3 linked regions of the Saccharomyces cerevisiae S288C genome follow. The protein of the gene in region 1 binds, or shares a complex with, the protein of each later gene. Each region holds a gene or a part of one and is shown in the gene's direction. Other genes may lie near its edges.

Evidence for each region. The genes of interacting proteins can lie anywhere in the genome.
Region 2: the proteins of SPC34 (region 1) and SPC19 are in contact, whole or in part, in a cryo-EM structure (PDB 8Q84), measured with the Saccharomyces cerevisiae proteins. Residues at the interface, in NP_012963.3 of Saccharomyces cerevisiae: Ile52 (codon at 1,960), Glu59 (codon at 1,981), Leu63 (codon at 1,993), Phe64 (codon at 1,996), Lys70 (codon at 2,014), Gln71 (codon at 2,017), Val73 (codon at 2,023), Arg75 (codon at 2,029), Gly81 (codon at 2,047), Val82 (codon at 2,050), Phe83 (codon at 2,053), Tyr115 (codon at 2,149), Lys118 (codon at 2,158), Asp119 (codon at 2,161), Ser158 (codon at 2,278), Thr160 (codon at 2,284), Phe161 (codon at 2,287), Leu181 (codon at 2,347), Phe201 (codon at 2,407), Glu203 (codon at 2,413), Thr207 (codon at 2,425), Ile210 (codon at 2,434), Met214 (codon at 2,446), Trp221 (codon at 2,467), Leu223 (codon at 2,473), Phe226 (codon at 2,482), Leu233 (codon at 2,503), Asn236 (codon at 2,512), Tyr237 (codon at 2,515), Leu240 (codon at 2,524); in NP_010487.3 of Saccharomyces cerevisiae: Arg45 (codon at 2,070), Arg48 (codon at 2,079), Leu49 (codon at 2,082), Val50 (codon at 2,085), Pro51 (codon at 2,088), Tyr53 (codon at 2,094), Asp54 (codon at 2,097), Val55 (codon at 2,100), Arg57 (codon at 2,106), Ser58 (codon at 2,109), Lys59 (codon at 2,112), Asp61 (codon at 2,118), Leu62 (codon at 2,121), Glu65 (codon at 2,130), Val66 (codon at 2,133), Leu69 (codon at 2,142), Val70 (codon at 2,145), Leu73 (codon at 2,154), Lys76 (codon at 2,163), Leu77 (codon at 2,166), Lys79 (codon at 2,172), Ser80 (codon at 2,175), Met81 (codon at 2,178), Arg83 (codon at 2,184), Met84 (codon at 2,187), Gln85 (codon at 2,190), Glu87 (codon at 2,196), Leu88 (codon at 2,199), Leu91 (codon at 2,208), Gln92 (codon at 2,211).
Region 3: the proteins of SPC34 (region 1) and DAM1 are in contact, whole or in part, in a cryo-EM structure (PDB 8Q84), measured with the Saccharomyces cerevisiae proteins. Residues at the interface, in NP_012963.3 of Saccharomyces cerevisiae: Gly2 (codon at 1,810), Ser4 (codon at 1,816), Leu5 (codon at 1,819), Cys8 (codon at 1,828), Ile9 (codon at 1,831), Asp11 (codon at 1,837), Ile12 (codon at 1,840), Ala15 (codon at 1,849), Ser18 (codon at 1,858), Met19 (codon at 1,861), Leu22 (codon at 1,870), Tyr23 (codon at 1,873), Phe24 (codon at 1,876), Lys25 (codon at 1,879), Pro27 (codon at 1,885), Gly28 (codon at 1,888), Ile29 (codon at 1,891), Phe30 (codon at 1,894), His31 (codon at 1,897), Ile34 (codon at 1,906), Arg45 (codon at 1,939), Ile48 (codon at 1,948), Leu51 (codon at 1,957), Ile52 (codon at 1,960); in NP_011628.4 of Saccharomyces cerevisiae: Gln60 (codon at 1,867), Leu64 (codon at 1,879), Ile67 (codon at 1,888), Arg68 (codon at 1,891), Leu70 (codon at 1,897), Ser71 (codon at 1,900), Ile74 (codon at 1,909), Ile75 (codon at 1,912), Leu77 (codon at 1,918), Asp78 (codon at 1,921), Phe81 (codon at 1,930), Thr82 (codon at 1,933), Leu84 (codon at 1,939), Asn85 (codon at 1,942), His88 (codon at 1,951), Glu89 (codon at 1,954), Ala92 (codon at 1,963), Asp93 (codon at 1,966), Glu96 (codon at 1,975), Gly99 (codon at 1,984), Ser100 (codon at 1,987), Leu102 (codon at 1,993), Tyr103 (codon at 1,996), Met106 (codon at 2,005), Trp110 (codon at 2,017).

The regions. Positions count from the first base shown.
Region 1 is NC_001143.9:509,870-513,603, reverse strand, and holds SPC34 (Spc34p), read left to right. Parts: upstream 1-1,806; coding exon 1,807-2,694; downstream 2,695-3,734. Other genes in the region: KAE1 (tRNA N6-adenosine threonylcarbamoyltransferase), read left to right, coding at 445-1,605; CAF4 (Caf4p), read left to right, coding at 2,971-3,734. UniProt on the Saccharomyces cerevisiae protein: Component of the DASH complex that connects microtubules with kinetochores and couples microtubule depolymerisation to chromosome movement; it is involved in retrieving kinetochores to the spindle poles before their re-orientation on the spindle in early mitosis and allows microtubule depolymerization to pull chromosomes apart and resist detachment during anaphase.
Region 2 is NC_001136.10:854,380-857,314, forward strand, and holds SPC19 (Spc19p), read left to right. Parts: upstream 1-1,937; coding exon 1,938-2,435; downstream 2,436-2,935. Other genes in the region: VPS64 (Vps64p), read right to left, coding at 1-1,714; RAV2 (Rav2p), read right to left, coding at 2,519-2,935. UniProt on the Saccharomyces cerevisiae protein: Component of the DASH complex that connects microtubules with kinetochores and couples microtubule depolymerisation to chromosome movement; it is involved in retrieving kinetochores to the spindle poles before their re-orientation on the spindle in early mitosis and allows microtubule depolymerization to pull chromosomes apart and resist detachment during anaphase.
Region 3 is NC_001139.9:717,204-720,424, forward strand, and holds DAM1 (Dam1p), read left to right. Parts: upstream 1-1,689; coding exon 1,690-2,721; downstream 2,722-3,221. Other genes in the region: cytochrome oxidase assembly protein SHY1, read left to right, coding at 155-1,324; chromatin-remodeling histone chaperone SPT6, read left to right, coding at 3,206-3,221. UniProt on the Saccharomyces cerevisiae protein: Component of the DASH complex that connects microtubules with kinetochores and couples microtubule depolymerisation to chromosome movement; it is involved in retrieving kinetochores to the spindle poles before their re-orientation on the spindle in early mitosis and allows microtubule depolymerization to pull chromosomes apart and resist detachment during anaphase.

The DNA.
Region 1 (3,734 bases):
CTGTGTATGTATATTATAGTCTTTATCATCAATGGCATCCCAACAATTATCTTAAAATTCACCCATTTGTCAAGATAATGGTTGATTCTTATTTAGACACAATAAAAAAACTTGAAGACATCTGCTTCTGAGCTGTAGAGGTACCAATTCGACGAAATATAAATATTTAAAACTAAGAGAAAAAATCCAACAAATAACGTTCCGTGATAGTTTAATGGTCAGAATGGGCGCTTGTCGCGTGCCAGATCGGGGTTCAATTCCCCGTCGCGGAGATTTTTTATTTTGCTTTTTATTCCTCCTGTAATATCGCTTTATACGGAAAAACTGAATTCTTTCATTATGATGAGTTCGAGAGTAACCATTTTTACTTCGTGCAACGATGCATATATTTATCTTTTACGTGAAGGGAATTCCCAAGCGTTCCCTAATGCAGTCGGGAGCAAAATGGTCAACTTGAACACTATCCCACCCAAAAATGGCAGGGACTACTACATTGCGCTTGGACTTGAAGGTTCTGCAAATAAACTGGGCGTTGGTATAGTTAAGCATCCGCTTCTGCCTAAACATGCCAACAGCGATCTATCTTATGATTGCGAAGCTGAGATGCTTTCTAATATTAGAGACACATATGTCACACCTCCTGGGGAGGGATTTTTGCCTCGAGACACGGCAAGGCATCACAGAAATTGGTGCATAAGACTCATAAAACAAGCACTGGCCGAAGCTGACATCAAAAGCCCGACACTAGACATTGATGTAATTTGCTTTACCAAAGGTCCCGGCATGGGGGCCCCTCTGCATTCAGTTGTCATCGCCGCCAGAACGTGCTCCTTACTGTGGGACGTGCCACTGGTGGGAGTAAACCACTGCATTGGTCACATCGAAATGGGGAGAGAAATCACTAAAGCTCAAAATCCTGTGGTACTGTATGTAAGTGGTGGAAATACACAAGTTATTGCATACTCGGAAAAAAGGTACCGTATCTTTGGTGAAACGCTTGATATTGCTATCGGTAATTGTCTTGATAGATTTGCAAGAACTCTGAAGATACCTAATGAGCCCTCGCCTGGCTACAACATCGAGCAGTTAGCTAAAAAAGCCCCTCACAAAGAAAACTTGGTAGAACTTCCCTATACAGTAAAGGGGATGGATCTTTCGATGAGTGGTATATTGGCTTCCATCGATTTACTTGCCAAGGATCTATTTAAGGGCAATAAGAAAAATAAGATCCTATTCGACAAGACAACGGGCGAGCAAAAAGTCACTGTAGAGGATCTTTGCTACTCTCTGCAAGAGAACCTATTCGCCATGCTAGTTGAAATAACAGAAAGAGCTATGGCTCACGTTAACTCCAATCAAGTTTTGATCGTAGGCGGTGTTGGTTGTAACGTGCGATTACAAGAAATGATGGCGCAAATGTGTAAAGACAGGGCCAATGGGCAAGTACATGCTACAGATAATAGGTTTTGTATCGATAACGGAGTTATGATTGCCCAAGCAGGACTACTAGAGTATAGAATGGGTGGGATCGTGAAGGACTTTTCTGAAACTGTTGTTACGCAGAAATTCAGAACCGATGAAGTATACGCAGCCTGGCGTGATTAACGATTTTTGTTACAGTTAGCCTAATGTTCACACTACGAATATATATATATATTTATATATGCCATACACCTTACATTTACAGCTCAGTGTATAACCTTGTGGAAGCGCGAAAATAAGCAAGAGACATTTGAAAATAATCAATAAACAAAGCTCAAAAAAATTAGATCATCACCTAACAAAATAAGACGTGGCAATTACAGAATGGGGGAAAGCTTGGATAGATGTATAGATGATATTAATAGGGCGGTGGACTCTATGTCCACACTCTATTTCAAGCCACCAGGAATTTTTCATAATGCCATCCTACAGGGAGCAAGCAACAAGGCAAGCATTAGAAAAGACATTACTAGACTAATAAAGGACTGTAACCACGACGAGGCGTATCTTCTGTTCAAAGTCAACCCTGAGAAACAATCCGTTTCACGTAGAGACGGCAAGGAGGGAGTATTCGACTATGTTATTAAACGAGATACGGACATGAAAAGAAATAGAAGGCTGGGCAGACCAGGGGAAAAACCGATCATCCATGTGCCCAAGGAAGTATATTTGAACAAAGATCGTCTTGATTTGAACAATAAAAGGAGAAGAACCGCCACTACAAGTGGCGGTGGCTTGAACGGTTTTATTTTTGATACCGATCTTATAGGATCCTCTGTCATTTCAAATTCAAGTTCAGGTACATTCAAAGCATTATCAGCCGTGTTCAAGGATGATCCGCAAATTCAAAGGCTCCTATATGCCTTGGAAAATGGAAGCGTGCTCATGGAAGAAGAATCCAATAACCAAAGAAGAAAAACCATCTTTGTCGAGGATTTCCCTACTGATTTAATTCTTAAAGTTATGGCCGAAGTAACAGATTTATGGCCACTAACAGAGTTCAAGCAGGATTACGACCAATTGTACCATAATTATGAACAACTTTCTTCCAAATTGCGCTTCATCAAGAAAGAAGTTTTGCTTCAAGATGATCGCTTAAAGACTATGTCACAGTACCATCCTTCTTCTTCTCACGACGTTGCTAAGATTATTCGAAAAGAAAAAGATGAAATTAGGCGGCTAGAAATGGAGATAGCCAACTTGCAAGAGTAGGGGAGCACTTCTCCTCAAGAATAGATATTTCCTTTGTCCTAATTGCATACATAGGCCACTGCAAATCATATAATTATGTATTACCTTACATCTAAATGTATAAAACCAACTGAGCGGATCCACCATGGGTCTGTCTCCTGTTAAAGCATGTAGCTTCATGTTTCTCACATAAACTTTCCTCATCGTAATGGAAAAAAAAAATAGTCATAAAAAAAAAACTAACCATGAATGACATATAAGATTACCACGAGCGAGAGTAAAAAAGAGTATCTCTATATGGGTTCGGGCGATACTAGAGGAGAAAGCTCTCTGGTAGCTAAACCAATCGAAATTATACTTAATAAGCTACCACATGCCATACTAGCGCAACAACAATTTCAAAAATATATAACGAGCCCCATCTACAGATATCTTTCCAAACTTCTACTGTTCAGAGAGGTGGCTTGGCCCGAAAGTACAAAAGATACCCAGAAAGGACAAGTAGGGATATTTTCCTTTCAAAACAATTATGCAGACTCTGCAACAACTTTCAGAATACTTGCTCATTTAGATGAGCAGCGATACCCGCTACCCAACGGTGCCGCTGAAAAGAATTTACCTTCTTTATTTGAAGGATTCAAAGCTACCGTTTCCATCATTCAACAGAGACTGTTGTTAGACAATGTAGACGGGGCCACGAATAGTGATAAGGAAAAATACGTTCAATTGCCGGATATTAATACTGGTTTTGTGAATAAAACGTACTCTAGAATTGACCTAACACATTTACTTGAGGATGTAGAAACTAACGTGGAAAATCTGTCAATCAATAAAACGTTAGAGATGGATGAGTTGACCAGATTAGATTCCATGATCAACGAACTAGAATCCAGGAAATTAAAAATCCTGGAAAGGGTTAAGCACATTGATAGTAAGTCTACCAATCTTGAGAATGATGTAACACTGATAAAGGATAGAATAAATTTTATCGAGGAATACAATTTGGAAGCTGATCGTGAACAGAGCTTACGGAAGCAAATGGAAGAAGAAAGATCATCTGA
Region 2 (2,935 bases), on another chromosome or scaffold:
CGACTCCTAGTTCTTCAGTGCTTATTAATGTATCTTCGGTATCCTTTTTTTCTTCTCTTGAATCATTTTGTTTTACTTTAGCGTTATTGTCATTGTTAATACCACCATTAAAATTGCTTTGTGTTAAAACTAAATTTTTTCCCCTCTCTTCTTCTATTTGAAGGTTCAGCTCTCTTAATTCACTTTCGAGCTCCTGTAGCTTTTCATGGTTTTGTTTTTCCTTCAAGCTACATGCAGATTTTACTTTATTATTTTGTTGTTTGATTTCTTTTAATTGATCTTCCGATTCTTTGAGTAGCGCATCATTATTTTCTGATAGAGTTTTTTGTAAAGCCGTGCTCAGTTTCAGTAAATGCTTTTCATTCATATCAATCATGTGCTTATTGATGAAATCAAGGTTTATCGTATAGTTTTGCATAAAGTTTTGCATGGAATGTAATTTTTCCAGCTCTTGTTTTTCTAAGGACAGCTCAGTAGTCAAAGTTTTTATCATATTTATCAAATTTATGCTTGTACCTGCTGAATTGTTGATAAAAATTCCACTGAGAACCTCAGTTTCTGGACCTAAAATATCATCATCTAATTCTGAGTTATTAATATCTCCAAACATAGCTGCCTCAAAGGCTGCCCTTTGAGCCGTTGTTGCAGATGTTACACCAGCTTCGGTATAATTTTCCTTTAAATGAGATCGTATTGGAATGTGTTGATTATGATGACCTCTGTCTATCTTTATTCCGTTTATATTAGTGGAGTTCCCATTATTCTTATTAGTATGATCTTGTTTTTTCATCACCAAATTTGTGGGATCAGATACAGTGTTCATTAAGGGAATTACTGAAATCTCTTCCACATACGCACTGATTTTTCTATGTTCAAACTTTGAGTCAATATCAGTTCCCAAATCCACAGTATCACCAACTTTTAATTCTACATCATTTTGGCGTATTTTAACCCCATTAACAAATGTCCCATTGCTGGACTTTAGATCGCGAATATATATCTTTCCTGATGTAGGATCACAACTGAGACAAGCGTGATTTCTGGAAAGAACTCTTGAGTCAAAATTTCCGTTATCTGGTCTAACTTGTTGCGAAAATAAATCTCTTTTCGATCCTGAATTATTCTTGTTTACGCTATTGGTAACTGGTCGACCTAATTTAAGTCCGTCAGGTTTAAATGGTACAACAAGAAACTTGGTCTCAAAAGTTGCATTTAAGGATTTGAGTATAATAATATGTGTATGCTTCTTACGGGGTGATCCAGTTCTAAATAATGTCTCAGTTGAACCATTTTGGAATTTCGATAATTCGTCCAGTGCCGGTGGAGATACGGCTTCTACAGGAATTGTTACTTGTCCAGCCGGTGTTGGGTCTATTGAATTGTCATTTTGATCCTGACTTTGATTTTCAAATGGAGAACGGATTTTGTTGGCTAATATTGGGGATAATTGTTGCTGTTGTGAAACTTGATGGACGGAAGGTGGAGATGAAGCGGTAGGCAACAAATCTAAGCCTGGTGGTATGGTATACTGATCTATATCGACATTTGAACGGGATCCACTGCTTCTCGAGTTTGATCTAGCTCTTCCCATGGGCCTCTTAGGCGGTGACGTTTCTGGCGTCTTTGTCATTCCCTGCGAATTCGATTGATCCCTAACATAGGGAGAATGTTGCAGTTGCGGAGGGGGCCGTCTTCTTTTTTCCAGTTCTACCATGCCAAGAATTTACAGTTGTCTTCCTTCCTTCTAATTTCCAGTTGGTGAGACTGGTGACTATCCGTGGGGTCCGGATTGCGATTTACTTTCATTATGTATTTATTATTGGCGATTATAAAGTTTGTTTTCACAGGGCGTAGTAGTTAGCAACAATGAAAATGAATAATAAACAGATCACAGACGCATATATCTGTGTACGAATTGAAGGATAGGCAAAATAACCATGACAGATGCTTTGGAACAGAGCGTCCTTGCGTTGGAGGGAACAGTTTCAGTATTGAAGGATTCTGTGGAGTCTTTAAAATGTGCAAATGAGCCAAGCACGAACCTTGCATCGACAATGTTGCAAACCAAAAGGGTTTTCCGTTTAGTTCCCGAATATGATGTTGAAAGATCAAAATTAGATTTGATTGAAGAGGTAGAACCGCTGGTTAGGACTCTGGGCGATAAGTTACGTAAATCTATGGGTAGAATGCAAAGGGAACTCGATACTTTGCAGCAAACTTATGAATTAAACGATTTAAGGCTAAAGAAGAACATTAGTATGGATGACGATGATGCTCTGAATAGTCCAGACATGGGTCAAGAATACGAAGGCAGAGACGCGGACGACGTGGTTATGATGGCATCTTCTACTAATGAGGAATTGGAAGAATTGAAGAAACTAAAGGAAAAGAAGAAGCAACTGGAGAATAAGTTGGAAATACTCAAACAGAAATAGTTAGAAGTTTATTTTTTAAAGCATCCATTTATCTCTTTATCCAGTTTGTATTATAAATTATTGTTAATGTTATCGCTAGTAGATTACTTATATGTACTTAACTGTTTGCTAGCTACCAAATTTGCTTGATGGTTCGCCATCGAAGCTTTGAGACTGTTCAATTTGGCGCTTATACTGATCAAAGTTGGATCACTTGTAGATACTATTAACTTTTCACATTCCATGACTACCCTATTATCGAAAGTAACGCCCCTTCTTAATAATTCCTGAGCTTCTGGAAGTGTTATAGCTTCACTTTGAAAAGAAGAAATTATGTGGTTAAGTAATGTGGAATCCTGGACTTGTACACCGTTTTCTGAGAGGATCTTAGATAAAGTTTTGTTTCTTTCATTTGTCACTTGATTTCTTATTTGGTCGCAAAATGACCTGCCAGTTTTACTATCAATCTCGCACCAAGGTTTTTTAGTCACCTTAATTAGATTTCGTAGTTCTATGCAAAG
Region 3 (3,221 bases), on another chromosome or scaffold:
TAGCTCGCATTGATGTAGCCGAGTATATTTAAGGGATTCTTATGCAATGATGAAATATTTTTCACCTATAACGCCGACTACTGAAAACAGAGGGCCATCTTAACCGTTTTGCATTCAGTAACCCATACTCAGGATTTAATAAAAGAGGAAAGCAATGTCTCTACTAGGCGCCAGGTCCACTTACCGTTGGTTTTCAATCGCTGCATCAATTCCGACTAAGAATGCTATTGGCAAATCCACGTACCTCTTAGCTTCAAGAAATCAACAGTACCGAGGCATCATAACGTCAACTGTAGACTGGAAACCAATCAAGACAGGTAAGAGCCCAAATGATGATTCTCGAAGAGAAAGATCCTTTGGCAAGAAAATTGTTCTGGGTCTGATGTTCGCGATGCCAATAATATCCTTCTATTTGGGAACTTGGCAAGTAAGGAGATTGAAGTGGAAAACCAAGCTGATTGCGGCATGCGAAACTAAACTTACTTATGAACCAATACCACTTCCTAAGTCATTTACACCTGACATGTGCGAGGATTGGGAATACCGTAAAGTTATACTTACCGGACACTTCCTTCACAATGAAGAGATGTTTGTTGGTCCAAGAAAGAAAAATGGAGAAAAGGGTTATTTTCTGTTTACACCGTTCATTAGAGATGACACCGGTGAGAAAGTTCTGATAGAAAGAGGGTGGATAAGTGAAGAAAAAGTTGCTCCTGACTCAAGAAATTTACACCATTTGTCGTTGCCTCAAGAAGAACACTTGAAAGTGGTTTGCTTAGTAAGACCTCCAAAGAAAAGAGGCTCGCTACAATGGGCGAAAAAGGATCCAAATTCTAGATTGTGGCAGGTGCCAGACATATATGACATGGCAAGATCATCAGGGTGCACGCCCATTCAATTTCAAGCCTTGTATGACATGAAGGACCATCCAATAATCGAGGAACACACAAGAAACGAGGCTTCACAAAACAATTCCACCTCTAGCCTGTGGAAGTTCTGGAAACGAGAACCTACGACTGCTGTAAACGGAACGCAAGCTGTTGATAATAATACATCGAAGCCTCGTTCTAGGCAGGAAATGCCGACAGACCAAACAATTGAATTCGATGAACGACAGTTTATCAAAGCAGGTGTTCCCATAGGCCGGAAGCCCACTATTGATTTAAAGAATAACCATCTACAATATTTGGTAACGTGGTATGGCCTTTCGTTTTTGAGCACAATCTTCCTCATTGTGGCTCTTAGGAAGGCGAAAAGAGGGGGCGTTGTGTCCCAAGACCAACTAATGAAAGAGAAACTGAAGCATTCAAGGAAATATATGTAAACGGCAAACTCCTCTGCCCATACTATCGAACTCTATCCAAGAAGCGCGTAATTTCACGAGCACTGCCTAAACGGTTTTCCACATTAGTTTTGCAACTACAATGATTCGGATATGGCACATTTACATAATTTAAACTTGTACATAACTAACACCTTTTTATCCATATACCTTATGTGCCGCTCAAGATATGAACATTGCGCGTTGCCCGGACAATATCGATAAATAATAGCCAAAACAAACATGTTTTATCGACGCATGAATCCTTTGGCGTTAAACTTGTCCAATTGCACTGAAACTTGGAGCGTATAAGCTCAGCAATTGCACCAAAACAATATCAGAAAAGGCTTGTATTGCCACTTTCACCTATGAGCGAAGATAAAGCTAAATTAGGGACCACAAGGTCTGCCACGGAATATCGTTTATCCATTGGTAGCGCTCCGACTTCAAGAAGGTCGTCTATGGGTGAATCCTCATCCCTGATGAAATTTGCTGATCAAGAGGGATTAACGAGTTCCGTTGGCGAATATAACGAGAATACCATACAACAGCTTCTGTTGCCTAAAATAAGAGAACTGAGCGATTCAATCATTACTTTAGATTCCAATTTCACGCGCTTAAATTTTATCCACGAGAGTTTAGCTGATCTTAATGAATCCCTAGGTTCGTTGTTGTACGGTATTATGAGCAATTCATGGTGCGTAGAATTCTCACAGGCGCCTCATGATATTCAAGACGATTTGATCGCTATTAAACAATTGAAATCGTTGGAAGATGAGAAAAATAACTTAGTAATGGAACTCTCCAATATGGAACGCGGGATTAAAAGAAAAAAAGACGAACAAGGTGAAAATGATTTGGCCAAGGCATCTCAGAACAAACAGTTTAACCAGCCGCTATTTCCCTCCTCACAAGTAAGAAAATACAGGTCATATGACAACAGAGACAAGAGGAAGCCCTCCAAGATAGGCAACAACTTACAAGTAGAGAATGAGGAGGACTATGAAGACGATACTAGTAGTGAAGCTTCTTTTGTTCTAAATCCAACAAATATCGGTATGTCCAAATCATCTCAAGGTCACGTGACTAAAACCACGCGTTTGAATAATAATACCAACAGTAAACTGAGAAGAAAGTCCATCTTACATACAATCAGAAATAGCATTGCTTCCGGCGCTGATTTACCCATCGAAAACGACAATGTTGTTAATTTGGGAGATCTGCATCCAAATAATCGAATATCACTCGGAAGTGGTGCTGCAAGAGTGGTCAATGGGCCCGTTACGAAGAACAGAAATTCAATGTTCTCAGGACGTGCTGAAAGGAAACCCACAGAAAGCAGACATTCTGTTGCAAAGAAAACTGAAAAAAAAATAAATACAAGGCCCCCCTTCAGATGACTACGCCCAACCCAACCAAAGAATTATCCTCCTCACAAAATATATCGCTAGCATGCGTGAGTTATGGATAAGAAGAATATTTGATGAGCTGACTGATTCTTTATAGCAATAGGGAGGAAGGCAGTACACATATCAGCAGTGCATGGGCACAACCCGCATTACAACGAAACATGATATATCTATATAAAAGAAGATACGGACAGGCGGTCGAGGCTATTACTGTGCCACTATGCGAGTCATGAATGATTTTTAAATTAGTTAGTACCCCTTTATATAACGTCTTCAATAAAAGTGCGGGAAAATTCGGGTAATATTTTCTATAACTGTCATTTTTTTTTCGTTATGTATGGCAAACCAAATTGACAAGAAACTGGACAACGGTTAAAGCAAAAGGAGGAAGAAAGATATTGATTTGTGCTTTGAAGAATAACCCAAGCGAACAGGTCATTAATTGCCTAGAATCTTTACATAGAATTTGCCTTTTATGGAAGAGACGGGAG